Linked DNA regions of Arabidopsis thaliana. The protein of the gene in region 1 purifies or fractionates together with the protein of each later gene. This does not show direct contact. Each region holds a gene or a part of one and is shown in the gene's direction. Other genes may lie near its edges.

What was found. Proteins that work in one complex are often made in the same cells at the same time.
Region 2: the proteins of ICK6 (region 1) and RPT6A purify together in Arabidopsis thaliana (affinity purification with mass spectrometry, with the first as the bait; one large-scale study listed by BioGRID). This does not show direct contact.

Annotation. Positions count from the first base shown.
Region 1 is NC_003076.8:19,789,687-19,797,814, reverse strand, and holds ICK6 (inhibitor/interactor with cyclin-dependent kinase), read left to right. Parts: upstream 1-3,406; 5' UTR 3,407-3,468; coding exon 3,469-3,899; intron 3,900-4,081; coding exon 4,082-4,108; intron 4,109-4,864; coding exon 4,865-5,059; intron 5,060-5,137; coding exon 5,138-5,207; 3' UTR 5,208-5,545; downstream 5,546-8,128. Other genes in the region: CB5-D (cytochrome B5), read left to right, coding at 7,635-7,721. UniProt on the Arabidopsis thaliana protein: Binds and inhibits CYCD2-1/CDKA-1 complex kinase activity. May target specifically CDKA-1.
Region 2 is NC_003076.8:6,749,310-6,758,045, forward strand, and holds RPT6A (regulatory particle triple-A ATPase 6A), read left to right. Parts: upstream 1-2,488; 5' UTR 2,489-2,651; exon of another isoform or gene 2,652-2,794; 5' UTR 2,795-2,834; coding exon 2,835-3,036; exon of another isoform or gene 3,037-3,434; coding exon of another isoform or gene 3,435-3,462; intron 3,463-3,544; coding exon 3,545-3,642; intron 3,643-3,719; coding exon 3,720-3,944; intron 3,945-4,059; coding exon 4,060-4,122; intron 4,123-4,206; coding exon 4,207-4,370; intron 4,371-4,710; coding exon 4,711-4,867; intron 4,868-4,978; coding exon 4,979-5,077; intron 5,078-5,274; coding exon 5,275-5,385; intron 5,386-5,468; coding exon 5,469-5,609; 3' UTR 5,610-5,984; downstream 5,985-8,736. Other genes in the region: GONST4 (golgi nucleotide sugar transporter 4), read right to left, coding at 598-1,623; AT5G20000 (AAA-type ATPase family protein), read left to right, coding at 7,606-7,807, 8,191-8,288, 8,381-8,605, 8,693-8,736. UniProt on the Arabidopsis thaliana protein: The 26S proteasome is involved in the ATP-dependent degradation of ubiquitinated proteins. The regulatory (or ATPase) complex confers ATP dependency and substrate specificity to the 26S complex.

The DNA of each region.
Region 1 (8,128 bases):
TTAGTAGAACATGACAATTGTTGTTGTGCTAATGTTTTAAATTGGTTTTAGATGATTAAAGATGAATTACTCATCTGACATATAGTTTTTAGTTTCTGGTTTTGTTTCTATTGCTAAGTTCCGTGGAAACAAATACTCTAGATTTTACAAATACCCTCCTTGTTGCCGTGTGTCACTTTCGGACTATGTACTCGAAACACTAAGCATCAGGTTGGATATTTCCAAGTTGACTGATCCATTGTGAAGGAGTTACTAATCTCTAAGCCGTTCCTTTAGAAAATTCTTCCCAACCCTTTTCCACTCGAATTCTCATGTGTTTTTCGTAGAAAAAATTATATCCACTTTGTACCATCTGTTCCCAACAAAATTACCGTCAAATCTTTTTCAGGGTCTTCACCATTGCCATTCATGAGAGAAACTGACATGAATTAATCTAGGATGATAACTTTTTTTGGAAAAGATGGTACATAGATGACACATCTTCTACGAAAATGCACTGGAAAGAATGAGTTTGGGAGCACATAGTTTAAAGATTGGTTAATTTTCACGTTGGAGTCAATTTGGAAAAATGTAATTCCTAAGCTCAGTTTTTCTAGTACAATATCCAAAAGTGATACAAAGGCAGCACGAAGAGTATCAAAAGCTAGAGAGAAAGATTATATTTTCACTAAACCTACCAGTTTTCGAAATAAAACCAAGAAACAAAATTAACATCAATGATATGATACGCTTTCTAATAATGGTCTCCTAATGTGTTGTAAGTGGGATATATTGAAAGAATTAAAGTTCATATAAGATACATATGCTCTTGGACATATATATGATGCAGTTTAGACATAGTTTATAATTGAAAGTGAAATACAAGAAATCCTCATTAGATAGTTTATGAAATATATTGAACTTTGTAAAAATAGTAAACAAAAATAAATCTAAATTTTTATTTATTTTGTATTTGAAATAAAACCCAAAAAGAAGATCTTTTCATGAAAGAGAAAAAAAGAAGTAAAATTGGTTGTAAATTTATTTCTGAATAGAAAAAAAAAAGAAATTGTGCCACGCAAAACCTTAATGCTTGAGCTTAATAAAATGAACCTTAATGCTTGAGCTTAATAAAATGAACCTTAATGCTTGAGCTTAATAATTGGGGATTATGTGGTTAATAGTATGGACCAGGAATCTTAGTCAGCAAACACTATATGGATTTTCTAATTATCTTAAATGGAAGTAGTAATTTATTTGTTTTTGTTTTTTAACATAGGAAATTTTGAAATATTTAGGTCCAAATTCGTGGTTTCCAAATATCTACACTTCAGATATCCAAATTTGTGGTTTAATATATATGTATATCCAAACTAAATTTAATTACAAAAAAAAAGTGGAATTTTAATATTTAGTTTGCCATTAAAAGATTTTAGATACAGTATATGGATTTTTGAGAGGCATGGCACTATTATTCGGAATCATAGATCCAATCCGGAATTCTTTCCGATCCGATCCAGAAAACCGGATATCCAAGATAGGTGAATCCAGATCCAGAGAATGAATTTACGGATACGTATAATCCGAATTATAATTTGATTTTAATTTATAATGGTGGGATACATACCTTCATCTTTGTTGCCTCGTTCCAGCTTGCATTTCTCCGTAGTAACATGTTGCAGATGATTCCTTCCTAAAGGTTTTGATTGGTATTTTATATTTCGCGCGGCCCAATTGTCACATACATTTTGATTATATCCGCATAATAAATGTTGTTAGCAAACAAATGAGGATTAATATTGAAAATTGTCCCTAGATCAAAAATTTATTACTGAAATCATACCTTTCTTTGCATATACCACATAAAATGCCAATGAATCAAAATTCATCACAAGAAGCAATCATCACTAGTAGCTGATGTGTATATGTAGACGTCTCTTTAGGGTTTTTACAACAATCTCCATGGAATTTTCGATCAACATGTTTTATTAAATCATATTGATTTTTTATTATTTTATGTTTTAAGGTAAATAAGAAATTGTTTATTTTCTTCTTTGTAAACTATTGTCGGATCATATATTTATGTGATGTAGAAGCCATGTTATCGTGTACAATGCGTGTTAAAACTTAAAATTGTGAAACTTTTGTATGTAATAATGATTGATTGACTAATTGATTTTAAAAGATAGAAAATATATAAATTATGGGTCCACATGGTAATTTTATAAAGAAAAAATCCCGGATTTTTTCTATTTAATCGAGAAATATAGATAATGATATACAAAAATTGGTGATTTTTTGTGAAATGTCAGTTGACTAGAAATTTGAAACAATTCTTATCAATGTATTTTTAAAAATATCATGTTTAATATGTAAGTTTAATATTCATTAGTGTGCATAATGTAAGAATAATTACTAATTTACATAAATATTTTCTCTTATATGTGAAAGTATTTAACTACTGATTTATTGATATACAATGAAAAAGTATGGGCTATTAACTTTATATGATTTCAATAATTTTTATGATTAATATATTTGATAAAAATGATAAATAATAAATCATTATTTTAAAAGAAACATGTATATCCAACAAAAAAAGCCGTGTGTAATACGCGTTGGTTCAAAGGGTAATTTAACTATGGAAAATAGTCCTAGATTTATTTTTGTTAAATTGAGAAATAAAAATCATTATATACCAAAATTGTAAACTTAGCAATTTTTTGGTGCAATTTCCGTTGACTCGATTTTTTGGAAAAAGTCTGTCAATTTCAAAGAAAAAATATTATGTTTAAATACTTAAGTTGAATATTTATTCGTGTGCATAATAATAATTTATTTTTCGTATAAACATTTTTTATTCTATGTGAATGTATGTAACTAGTTGTTTGTTGTTACATGTTAAAAGTATGTACTATTAAGTTTATATGGTTTCAATAAAAAAAATTCAATACTTTTTATGATGAAATTATTTGATAAAATTTAAATAAATGAAAATTGTTTTTTTAACAACAAACCGATCATATTAATGAGAATTTATTTTAAAATAGAAAAGCCGTATGCAATACACGTTATATTTAATAGAAAATTCGTAGTCAAATGATGAATTTAATTAGCAGTTTAATTTTTAAGAAGTTAAAGATTTAGTCAAATGATGAATTTAAATTTATTCGACAACAAAAATTATCAATAAATCAAAAATGTAAAACTGACGATTATTCTATGAAAAGTGAAAACACAACGGAAAATACAAATAATAATGATGAGTTTGGGGTTTTATTTAAAAATAATAATAATAATAATATTGTTTTTGACAATTAGATAAAAAAGGTAAACTTTTTTTTTCTTCTCCTTTGTTTTATTTTAACCCCACAAAACTCGAAAACCTTTTTCCCATTTTCTCACTTTCCCTCTTCTTCTCCTCCCTCAAAGCTTTTCCCTCTCATTTTTCTCTTTCCGCTTTCAAGCTTCTTTTCCCTCTCTCAAAAAATGGGGAAATACATGAAGAAATCAAAGATAACTGGCGATATCAGCGTCATGGAAGTCTCTAAAGCAACAGCTCCAAGTCCAGGTGTTCGAACCAGAGCCGCTAAAACCCTAGCCTTGAAGCGGCTTAATTCCTCCGCCGCTGATTCAGCTCTACCTAACGACTCTTCTTGCTATCTTCAGCTCCGTAGCCGCCGTCTCGAGAAACCCTCTTCGCTGATTGAACCGAAACAGCCGCCGAGAGTTCACAGATCGGGAATTAAAGAGTCTGGTTCCAGGTCTCGCGTTGACTCGGTTAACTCGGTTCCTGTAGCTCAGAGCTCTAATGAAGATGAATGTTTTGACAATTTCGTGAGTGTCCAAGTTTCTTGTGGTGAAAACAGTCTCGGTTTTGAATCAAGACACAGGTTCGTTGTTTTTTTTTTTTTTTTTTTGTGCCCTAATGTTTTCTTATTACCAATTCGACTTTTGTGTTCTGTCTTATCCAATAATCTTAGTTTTGAGTCTTACATAGTTTTGAATCTTAGTTAGGTTTCTCTGAAACTTTTGTTGTTTGCTTCAAATCAATTTTTTTTTTTTTGGGGGATGAAAATAGTTTAGTACAAGAGAAAAATAGGTTTTTTATGTTTCCCTTATTGGTTTGGTTTTTGTTTATGAATTGACTCTCTTGTGATGTACTGAATTTTGTTATTACTACTTCTCCGTATAAGTCTCTTTTGGTGTTAGATTTACATTATATCTGATTTATTGCTGTATGTCCCATGTGTACTTCATTGCAGAGATTATCAATGAATGTGTCAAAGCTATTTTCGTTTTATATATGTATTTCATTATTTGTTACAAATTTGGTGAAACTCTGATCTGTTTTTGTGTATTTTAATTTGTTTAAGAACATGTTGATTCTCCTTGTTATTAGGCTAATGGCATAAGAAGTATTTGTACATTGGGTATACAATATTGGGATTTGGTTATTGGGGGTTTACTTAAACACATGGTTTTCGTTTTTACAAAAGTGGGTTGTTGTATAAAGGTCAGAAACTTTTAATATGTAAGATTATATGAGAATTGGGACTTTCCTCATAAGTGTAATGCAAGTACTGTGGTGTCATGTTCATGGGACCTAGTGGTTTTTGCATACTTGGGGAATACTTTTGTAGGATCCTCTGTTTTTTGGGGTAACCGTCCTGCTGCTAGTTGACAATGTGGTGATTGCCTTCTCTTTGTTATTTATTATCTTATGGGACCATATTACTTAGAAAGTCTCTAGCTTTTGTTGTTTACTTAAACCAAGCCTCTTTTTTATTCTGGATGTTTGGTTTTGGTTTGATTCTTGATTTGGTTAAGTGTCTTTGTGGTGATAATGTTATTGAAGTTATTTTATCTGTGTTTTTTTCTGCAGCACAAGGGAGAGCACGCCTTGTAACTTTGTTGAGGATATGGAGATCATGGTTACACCAGGGTCTAGCACGAGGTCGATGTGCAGAGCAACCAAAGAGTACACAAGGGAACAAGATAACGTGATCCCGACCACTAGTGAAATGGAGGAGTTCTTTGCATATGCAGAGCAGCAGCAACAGAGGCTATTCATGGAGAAGTAAGCTTATTCTTTATTTTATTTTTGTGTCATTACGAAGAGGGTGAACAACACTCATGTGTTTTCAATAATCTTCAGGTACAACTTCGACATTGTGAATGATATCCCCCTCAGCGGACGTTACGAATGGGTGCAAGTCAAACCATGAAGTTCAAAAGGAAACAGCTCCAAAAGACATGGTGTGAAGTTAGAGAATGTGATGGAGTTAACAGACTAACCAAACATCAGAAATCGTGTAATCTTAAGTAATAATGTGGTTAGAGAACAAGTTTGAGAGTAGCTTAGGGACCTTAAAACCTCACACCATTTGTACTACTAATCTTCTTCAGATGCTTAGTGAAATTTTCTCATCTGTTTCTTTCAAGTGTTTGTTTTTCTATCTATCTCTCATGTTTATTCAAAGCTATATGTAATGATGATGATTGAGAGGGATGTGTGTGAACATGTTTAAGCTTGGCATATAGTGAAAAAAATGATTCAGATGCAGAAGAAAGAGACCCAATTGAGAGGTTCACGTGTGAATTTTGGTAGGTGTAAAAATCTGAATCATATCCTTTTTCTTTCAACTATACAAGATTGGTCCCTTTTCTTCTCTTACCATAATTATGACGCACGTGAATGTGTGTGTAAATACTTTGACGTTTACATTGAAATACTGTAATGTAAGTTCAGAGTTAAAAGTACAAACACAAAGGTGAATTTTGTACTAATTAGTAAAGAGATAAGAGTGTTTTGAATCTTGAATATCAAATTATTATTAACAAGAAACTGACAAAAAGATGAGACAGTGTTCATTGAGAAGATCTCTGTTGTTTTATCTTTTTTTTTACATTTCTTGGAAATTGGCAAAACCAGTGTGATGAAACTGTGAAATCTTATCTCGAACCCAATCATTGTTCTATGTTTTTCTTTAATCTCTAAAAGTGAAAAAGTGAATGCATGAAACGTTCAGATACATTCATTATATTATACATTTATACATATGGACATGGTGTACGTATGTACACGGGTGCTTGTTTGATCACGGGCTCACTGACTATAAAAATCATGTTTTTTGGGACATATAGATTCGCTTACATCAACTGTGTGACCAATGGGGTATCTGAATTCAGCTTGTTCGATGTTTTGTTTGACTCTTTTAAACTATTTGGTAGTAAAAAGCCAAAAAGGAAGAGCACTGATTACGAAAGCCTTTTTGTCTTTTTGTTTCTTCTTCTCTAGCTCTCTTTCGTTCTCCTTTTGGGTTAGTCCTTCAAAATAAATGTCTTTAACTTGTCATGTATAGTTTCTTTCTCTCGTTGAACACCAACCATAGGCCTTGCAATGTGAGTCAAAACATGCATTGAAAAAAGAAGTGAATTTCAACATTAAATGCTCTCGTTTAACATGCCTATGGTTCCATTAAGCAAAGTACACACTCTATATATGTCGAAAGAACTATACAGTCGGTGTTTTAGCCCTATAGTTAGATACATTCGAACTGATTACAGAAATATCAAATATCCAGTTCTAAGATCGGATTAAGGCAAATACATTTAAACTACTTCTAGCGAATGAGGTTCACATAGAAAAACTTTTTAAAATGAATCACTAAACAAGATTCATTTTCTTTCTAAATAGTGTAAAGACGAGTGATGCATGCAACTGCTCTCCTTTCCGTTGGTCCCTTGTCAAAATATACGACCGTGAATAATTCTTCCCATCATATTTATCTGTCGGAGAGTTCCAACCTCAAAACATTCTCCTTCTCTTATCAATTCTTTCTAAAATCATAAACCAACAAACTGGGCCTATGATCAATTATTCATATTCAATTTAGCCTATAACTAAAACCACACTGCTTTCGTTACACTGGCCTTCCGACAAGTCTCTTTGACTGTTTTTATCTTAAGCGCCATCAAGTTTTAAAGAAGACAACCCCATATCTTTCCTCCCATGAATCATCGTGTCCATATTGCTATAGTTCATGAAAAAACTAAATACTATCGACAACTGAAGAAAAGATCCGGATCTTGTGGACCGAGTGAATGGTTGGGCCCAATTAGAATGGTCTACCCTAACATCTAGCCGTCTACACGATTGATCATACGTCTAAGAGGGCGAAACCACCAAACGTTTGGATTTTATCTAAATTGATGTACATAAAGCTAACATGATTTTAGTATAAACATTATAAGCATCATGGAAATCAATAAGCTAACATGATTTTAGTAGAAACATTATCAGCTAACATGAATTACTAAAAACATTTATTTTATTTTAAGGAAAAACATACAATACTAAGATTTTTTATAACATTTTTTCTTTGTAACATTATAAATTGTTTTAGTTTCTACATTAATTAAATATATAAAATAAATTCATTTAAATAATATAAGAAAACGGAATCTTTGATTAACTGCTGATTATTGGCCACTGATTAATTTCCGACCCCATCAATAGATGAGATCAGACATACACAACTTAAGTAGACCAAAAAAGCGGTTGGTGTAAGATCCCAAACTCACAGATTCCCAAATAATAGTAATACTCTTCCTCTTCTCAACTCTCACCAGTCACCAGCAGATCATCGGAGATGGGCGGAGACGGAAAAGTTTTCACCTTGTCCGAGGTTTCTCAGCACAGTAGCGCCAAGGATTGTTGGATCGTCATCGACGGCAAGGTCCTACATCTCCGATCCCAGTTTCTCATTCGATTTTCCGTTTTCCCTTAGATTTTGCATCTTATCTTCGTGAGATCCGAAATTCTTGAGTTGTGTTGACTTGGATTTATAAATCTAGAGTTATGTAGTAACAAGTTTGGGGATAGATCTGATCTGATTTGCTAGATTAATGTTACTTTTCTAAGTCTAAATCACAGAGAAATTGCTAAAAACTTACGTCTTTATAATTGAATGTGATAGTTGGTGCTGCTTAAGATGTCTCTGTGTGATCTTGTATCTGTAGTTAAAGCTAGTAAGGTTCATGTAGTTCATGTATGTTCTGATGTATGAACTTTTGATAACCCACTTAATCTAGGTCTCTGATTGTGTGGAATTAGGGACTTATATGACAAAGTTTACATTTTTTG
Region 2 (8,736 bases), about 13 Mb from region 1:
CTAGCTTGAGAGGAGAGGATGCTCTTTGAACTTATAAGATAGCAAAAAGGTTGGCCAATTTAAGAGTGTCATAATTTTTCAAAGCGTATCTGCTTTGAGCTAGGTATGTATGATTAGGTTTTGTGGTGATTTCATAGCTTAAAAGTCGATGAAAGGGTTACAACTATAGAATGCCGTGACACATTCAAATGCTCTAAATCAAACAAAAAATCAATACATACCTGGCTCAACTGTCTCGACAGTTATGTTTCAACTGAATGGATTTAGTAAACTGACAAAATTGTAAGACTACAACTACTAATAGGCACACAGAACAATCCATTCCTGCTACTGTTCTTTCACATTTGCATTATACAACACAACAAAATCTTTTGTGCATCACTAAAATCTTGTAACACAGAGAACAGAAATTGATTTTGTATAAATGGATATGAGGATAATGTGAAACAGGGTTTTACAAAATTTAATACTATAGAGGCCAGAAACCAGAAAAAGGTATTCACTTTTACTAGAAACCTCGTTAAAATGTAAAAAAGGCTAAGATATTCAAAAGGTTACACACCTGAAAAGGCAGGCTGCAAAACAATGACACTTCTCTCATACAACAGAAGCTAGTTTCCCCGGAACCAACTGCGTCAACTCCTCATCTTCCTCTCCCTTCTCGCTATCTTTCTCGCTGACCTTCTCAATGGGTTTATCCAATTTGACACTCTGCTGATAACCAACACCTCCACAGATAGTAAAAAGAAGACAAACCAAACCAACAGGAGTGGCATGCTTATCCCAAATCAAAACATTGATGACAACAGTCAAGAACTTGTTAACAACACCAGTGACTGTAAAAGCAGTAGCAGAGATAGCATTCCTAGCAGCAAATCCAAAGTAACTGATAAGGAAACCAAACACACACGACGCAGCCACAGAAGAAAACGCATAAGGCTCAAACAAATTCCCTCTATTCTCACTCAACGCCGCGAAAACCTCGGTGAATTCTCCAGTAAGAAACCAGAACACCGGTGCTATCATCAGAGACAGTAGATTATTGTAGAGAACCAATCCCCAAATGTTCAATTTAATATTAGAGACCATATGCTTAATGTAAACCATTTCAGTAGTAATGGTAACAAGATAAGCCAAAGCCCATGAATAAGCCGTTAGAGTAAAAGACGAGTCAGTTGCAACATACCCAACAGCTCCAGCGAGGATAACGACGAGAGACAAAAACGTAAGTCTCGAAGGTAAAGGCTGACTACGAAACACAGTATCAGCGATCGCGACTAAGAGCGGTGTTAGAGATCGGAAGACGATGAAAGTATCGACATTAGCGTGACGGAGGAGGTTTGTGTTTGTGAAGATAGCGAGGTAGAAGACGATAGCTGCAGGGAGAAATTTCTTAGCAGTGTCCCATGTGAATGGATCGTGATTGATTAACCCTGATTTGCCGAGAAGATAGACGGCGACGGTGCAGGTTAGGTATTGAAGAGCTGTGAGGAGACCTGGGTAGTTGAAGTATGTGATTGCTAATTTGTTGATTACGGCGAGGAGGCTTGAGCAGAGTGCGTAGCCGATTACGAGACTGCTTGTTGTTAATTGTTTGTTTGAATCGAATCGAGAGGACGACATTGTTTTGGTTTTTGGTGGAGGTTTTTGGGAGATCCAGATCGGTGAAGATGAAGAAGAGAGGATTTGGGATCTGGATCGGATTATTCAGAGACTAATTAGAGGAAGGCGACGACTTCTCTCGTCAGTGTCTTATCGTACGGGACAATTTTGTTAGTAATCTTTTTAGTCACTTTGAGTTTAATTGTGGTGTTAATTTTGGTCAACTCACCATTAATGGAAGAATATTAAACATATTGATTTTGTCTGTGTGTATGTAGAGAATTTTTGTTTGTTTGTAGAGAAATTATTGTGTATTTTGGACATAAACTAGTCAATGCACTAATTAAGCAAATAATTGAGATTGCATGTAGTCATTGTTGAGATTCACTCTCTTTTAGATTAACGATATGTGCTGAACCAACGCTTAAATAAACATAATAAATCTAAAATTGTTGTCATCTGGCTGTACAACACAAAGCTGTACAAAATTTTAGATTAACGGATCTGATTGTTTACAATAAGTCGTATAAAAAATTTAGGTGTACGTTTTTTCGGAATATTATAAAGCTGTAAAAAAGAACGGTACGAGAAAACCTTACAATAAAAGTGAGAGTAAAACTTTTTGTAACACTTTTGATAATCTTTTTGTGTTTTGTATAAAAAAAAGCTATACAAATTGTAATACTTTGTTTTTATTCACCAATCAAAGTCGTTGATGTTGAAACATGTTGTTGAGACATCATGCATCAACTACACTAAAATGTTATTCAAATCTTTGATCTAGTAATAAAACATGTTTATGATGTGTATTAAAGTAAGATTTAAACGAAAAAGAAGAAGTTATTAATCCGAATGTTTCAAAGTTTCAACTATCTCCCTCGACAACTCTCTTCTTACTCGATAAGGTGAAACTTAAATTACTAACAAGCAGAACGTTTTATCTCTAAGATGGTTCCAACGGCTTATTAGCCACCAGCTAGAGTAAGCCTGAGAAAACGTAGACTCGAGGAAGGACTCTAAACGAACTAGAAGGTTAAGACAAGCAAAAAGTAAAATAAAAATATTTCTATTGTTGAGTTAATTTCCTTTTTATTAATTTAGGTGATATCATATAATGCTTCGCGTGAGGGTTTCTGAGATTCTGATCGACGAAAACTAATCTCTCTCCTTTTTCTTCTCATCTCCTTACTAGAGATCTCTGTCTTCGATAATTTGTTTCAATCACTGAGAAAATGGCGGCCGTAGGAGTAGATTCGAGGCGTCCTGAGACAGCGATGGAGGAAACCTGTAACGTGAAAGGAGCGGCGGCGAAACAAGGGGAAGGGCTTAAGCAGTACTATCTCCAGCACATCCATGAGCTCCAGCGCCAGCTTCGACAGAAGACTAATAACCTCAATCGCCTTGAAGCTCAAAGGAATGAACTCAATTCTCGAGGTCTCTTCTTCCTTCTCTTACCCTAATTCTCTGCAAAATTGGATCTTTTTTATCATCTCCTTGTGTTTCGTAATCTCAGATTCTGTGCTAGGGCTTTCGATTTCGTTCCAATTGGAGCTGAGTGATTTCAAATTTCAAAATTGTTGTGGTGATTTAGTGTTTCCGATCTGGAAGTGATTAGTCTTGATTTTAGCAACATTAACTTGTTTAGATTTCTAGATTCTGTCTTCTTGTTGGTTCTTTTGCAAAGTATGTGGCTTTTTTCAGGAAAGCCTAGTTATTTCTTCACTATCTTCATTGAGGAATATATACTTTTGGAAGGAGCCCATATAGTCCTTTCCACTATACCATGATTTTAGTTACACATTTAAAGTTATAGAACAGCTTCTGTTGTCATCATGATCACCATCCTATTTATGCATGAAGGTTTTCTTACTAGTCTTTATAATTTGTAGTTAGTTCTAAATCTCAAACCTCGTTAACACTAAAATTATTTCTAATTGAACAGTGAGAATGCTCAGAGAAGAGTTACAGCTCCTTCAAGAACCTGGGTCCTATGTGGGAGAAGTGGTAAAAGTTATGGGAAAGAACAAGGTCTTGGTTAAGGTATGAATCTTTTTTATTATCATGTTTGTATTTCTACGAACATAGTTGTCAGTAAGGCTTACACTCCCATTTTCCAGGTTCATCCAGAGGGGAAGTATGTTGTTGATATTGACAAAAGTATAGACATTACGAAAATCACTCCATCAACGAGAGTTGCTCTTCGTAATGATAGCTATGTTCTCCACCTGGTTCTGCCAAGTAAAGTAGATCCCTTGGTTAACCTTATGAAAGTTGAGAAGGTTCCAGACTCCACCTATGACATGATTGGTGGTCTTGACCAGCAGATTAAGGAAATAAAGGAGGTATGCTTAGTGAATGAGAAACCGAAACTAAAAGTCACTACAGTATTGGCTATCTCCTCTGTTGTTTCATCCTTTTAATGTTTATATAATATCTATATCTTTTCTGGTTTATCAGGTCATTGAGCTGCCAATCAAGCATCCTGAATTGTTTGAGTCTCTTGGAATTGCGCAGCCAAAGGTACACTTGAATCTTAAACCTTCTTCTCCATATTGTGATGATGCTAAGTGGATTAGACGTAATCTCATCTCTCTGTCTTTCTAGGGTGTGTTGTTATACGGTCCACCTGGAACTGGGAAGACACTATTGGCTCGGGCTGTTGCACATCACACTGACTGTACTTTCATAAGAGTTTCTGGTTCCGAGCTTGTCCAGAAATACATTGGAGAAGGTTCTAGAATGGTCAGAGAACTTTTTGTGATGGCAAGGTTAGTATATGGTAGTCCCTATTTTAAATTTCAAGCATGGTAATAGTGGTTGATAGGAAAATATGGAACTGTTGATAAGATAACATCTTTTAACATGTCCGCCATTAGTTGCTATAAAATGGACATGAGCTGTTAAGTTAAATGGGGAAAGTGTTCTTTGTTGCTACAATGAATATGGTTCCGTTGTGAATGAATATCGTTCTATAAAGTATTCTTTGTCATAGTGCTTAGCATTTAGGCCACAGTGCCAAGTCTCATGTAAGGAGCAAATTACAAATAGGTGAGATGATTCGTTGAAAATACTCTTTCCAGTTGGCTTACACCGGTTTATGGTTTTCAGGGAGCATGCACCATCAATCATCTTCATGGATGAAATCGATAGTATTGGGTCTGCTCGTATGGAATCTGGAAGTGGAAATGGTGACAGTGAGGTGCAACGGACCATGCTCGAGCTTCTCAATCAACTTGACGGTTTTGAAGCGTCAAACAAAATCAAGGTACCTATTAAGTTGTAAAGGAAAAAAAACCATAAGTTGAATAGGATGAGTCTGTGTTATTGTAGTCTGAAATTGCTGACAGAGTCATATTCTCTTTAATGACTGTTGCAGGTTTTGATGGCTACAAATCGTATTGATATTCTGGATCAAGCTCTTCTCAGGCCTGGAAGAATTGATAGGAAAATTGAATTTCCTAATCCTAATGAAGAGGTAATACTTGTGCTCTGAGAAAATGATATTGACTGTTGTTTTTGGTGATATGAATACATTATTCGTCAAAGTAGGCACCTTATTTAGTATTTAGACTATCATTTGCAGCATAAAAAACTTTTCTTTATCTCCATACTCATTTTACTCAAGTGAGGCAGGACGGTTTGGCTAATGTATGTTTCCAAAATGTGTTGCAGTCACGTTTTGACATCTTGAAGATTCACTCGAGGAAAATGAATTTGATGCGTGGAATCGATCTGAAAAAGATTGCAGAGAAGATGAATGGCGCTTCAGGTGCTGAGCTGAAGGTAAAGTGTTTTCTATTTCTCTACTTCTATCTTGTTCTCTCTACATTTTGCCTCTCTCTTATGTTTTTGGTTAATACGGTCAGGCTGTGTGCACGGAGGCGGGAATGTTTGCTCTGCGTGAGAGGAGAGTACACGTGACACAAGAAGACTTTGAGATGGCGGTGGCCAAGGTAATGAAGAAAGACACGGAGAAGAACATGTCTCTGCGTAAGCTGTGGAAGTAGGAATCTCTCATGGAAAGACTTTCTTTACTTTACTGTTTGTTGTTTGATTCTGAAACCTTTTTTCGGTTGTCTCATGAAAACATTTTAGAACAAAGTTTTTACTATCTAGACACGAGTTTATCTAGTATGCGATTTGAGGTCAATGGAAGGAAATTCCCAAAACTCAAGAACCTGAGCTTATAAGACCAAAACAAGCAGAACCTTCACATGTTAAGAGTTCTTCTGTCCGAAACTGTCATATTCCATTAGAGAGAAAAAGCCTATAATGTAAATGTTATGATAATTTATTTCAATTACAAATTTTACGCACGAATTTGGTTTATTCGGTATGGTTTAGCTCGGTTACCAAAGTTTTGGTGTATGCTTAAGTTGTGGTTTTGGACTTTTTGTATTGCAGACTTATAAAATAACAAAACCAAGCGGTTTATAAATTTTGTTAATTTTGGGTTGGTTCCGTCATTCCATTTTTTATTTTTCTCCCAAATAAAAAATCATATGAAATTAAACTTAAAAAGAGCAAGATCTTTAATACAAGATCTTTAATACAAGTTTAGCAAAAAAAAGATCTTTAATACAAATGATAACATAGTTACAAAATTATACAAAACATATGATATTAATGAATTATATAATACACAATAAGCAATGGAAAAGAAAAATACAATAGCTTATATCTTGTTCTCTGGACATTTTGCACCTTTCTTATGTTTCCAGTTATTACGTTTAAACTTTGTGCACAGAAACGAAAATATTTGATATGCGTGAGAGGAGAGTACACGTGACATAAGAATACTGAGATGGCGGTGGCGAAAGTAACGAAAAACACACACAAAGAAGAACAAGCCTCTGAGTAAGTTCTGGAAGTAGGAATCTCTTTGTTATGTAATTCAAGTCAATGGAAAACCACATTTTCATTTCGGATATGACAAATTAGAGTTTCTTTACTTTGCTGTCGATTGCTGGTTTTGAAACCCTTTTTCGGTTGATTCATCAAACATTTTTAGATTAAGTTTTTATGACCTAAATATTTTTTTTTTATATCTAAATGTGTCTTTAAAACGAACACATGTTCAAAGTTTTTATGTCCAAATCAGTTATCATATTTGATTAGAGAGAAAAAAGCTATAAAGTTAATATTATTATAATTTAATTAATATGACTATTTTAGTAATAAAATCCTTCAACTAAAGATGAATCGTGAGAAAACCTATCAATTATTTATTTAGTGAAAAAACTCTAAACTTAAAATTTGTTAATGTAAATCCTCATCCATCTATATTGTCGTGAAAATTGGACGGATTACAATTAAAATAAAATGTAATATTTTTCACAAATTGAAAAATAATAAATATACACTTAAACAATAAAAATTGTAAATAAAAACAACAAAATGTTCTTATTTATACCGAATCTAAATTTTCTAATTTATTTAAGCTCTAAAATTTAGAAAGTGAAAAATGAGATTTTTATAAGGTTTGTGTGTTGTCGAAGTCGATTCATTTTAATTTGACCCTAACCCGTCTAATTTTTATTACTAAAAATGAAGAGAGAATTGTATTAACAGAATTTAAATTAAAGGGTATTTTTACAATCATCTTTAGTCGAGTGGTTTTATTACTAAAAACTTTTTTTTAAAATACAAATGTTTATGCAATAATATGGTTTATTCGGTGTGGTTTTAGTTGGGTTACCCAAAAAAGTTTTAATAATAGGCTTTAGTTGTGGTTTTGGTATTGCAGACATTAAAAATAACAAAACCAAGCGGTTTATAGACTCGGTTTATTTTGGGTCGTTCGTTTTCCATTTTATTCTCACAAAATAAAAAATAGTAAATTGAACTTACAAAAAAAAAAAAGATGTCTTGTTGGATAATCCAAGGTTCTTTTCTATATAAAGGTTCTTTGCTCATGATCTTAGTCCCTGTGATCTATCTTTGAATCTCAAAAGCATACTTGAGAGAGATCTGTTTCGATAATTTGCTTCAATCACCGTGTTAATGGCGGCCGTAGGAGTGGAGGCGAGACCTCCTGTGACAGCGATGGAGGAAACCTGCAACGTTAAGGGAGCGGCGGCGAAACAAGGAGAAGGGCTTAACAAGTACTACCTCCAGCATCTCGATGAGCTCCAGCGCCTGCAACGCGAAAAGTCGTATAACCTTAATCGTCTTGAAGCTCAGAGGAATGAACTCAATTCTCGAGGTCTCTTTTTCCTTCTCTAACTCTAATTTTCATTGAATTTCTTTGCAAAGTTGGATCTTTTGATCATCTTCTTAAGTTTAGTAATCTCGAATTCCATATTAGGACTTTAGATTTCGTCTGGGTGCTTTAAATTTATAAATTGTTGCGGTGATTGTTTGGATTGAGGGTTTCTGATCTTTTCCAGAACTGGATCTAAACTATGCTGCGCCTTGATTTTTAGCATCACTAAGTTACCCTATTGAGATTTCTTCTTGATTCTGTTTGTGTTGAGTATGAATCAGCTTCTGTCAATATTTGATTGTTTAGCAAAGTATGTAGTGATTGATACAATCGATGTATACTGCTGAACATTTTAAACCTTGTTGTCATTGTAAACTGAACAGTACGAATGCTCAGAGAAGAGTTACAGCTCCTTCAAGAACCTGGGTCCTATGTGGGTGAAGTGGTAAAAGTGATGGGAAAAAACAAGGTCTTGGTTAAGGTATGAATGTTTTTATCGTATTATCTAGATTGGTTTTTGAATTGTTTGCAATCATATGAACATTGATAGAATAATACTTTCCCATGTTTCAGGTTCATCCAGAGGGGAAGTATGTTGTCGATATTGACAAAAGTATAGACATAACGAAACTCACTCCATCAACGAGAGTTGCTCTCCGTAATGATAGCTATGTTCTCCACCTGGTTCTGCCAAGTAAAGTAGATCCCTTGGTTAACCTTATGAAAGTTGAGAAGGTTCCAGACTCCACATATGACATGATTGGTGGTCTTGACCAGCAAATCAAGGAAATAAAGGAGGTATGCATAGTGAAAGAAACAAACGATACTAAAAGTCACTGGTTTCATGCTTTTAAATTTTATATAATATCTTTACTGGTTTATCAGGTCATTGAACTGCCAATCAAGCATCCTGAATTGTTTGAGTCTCT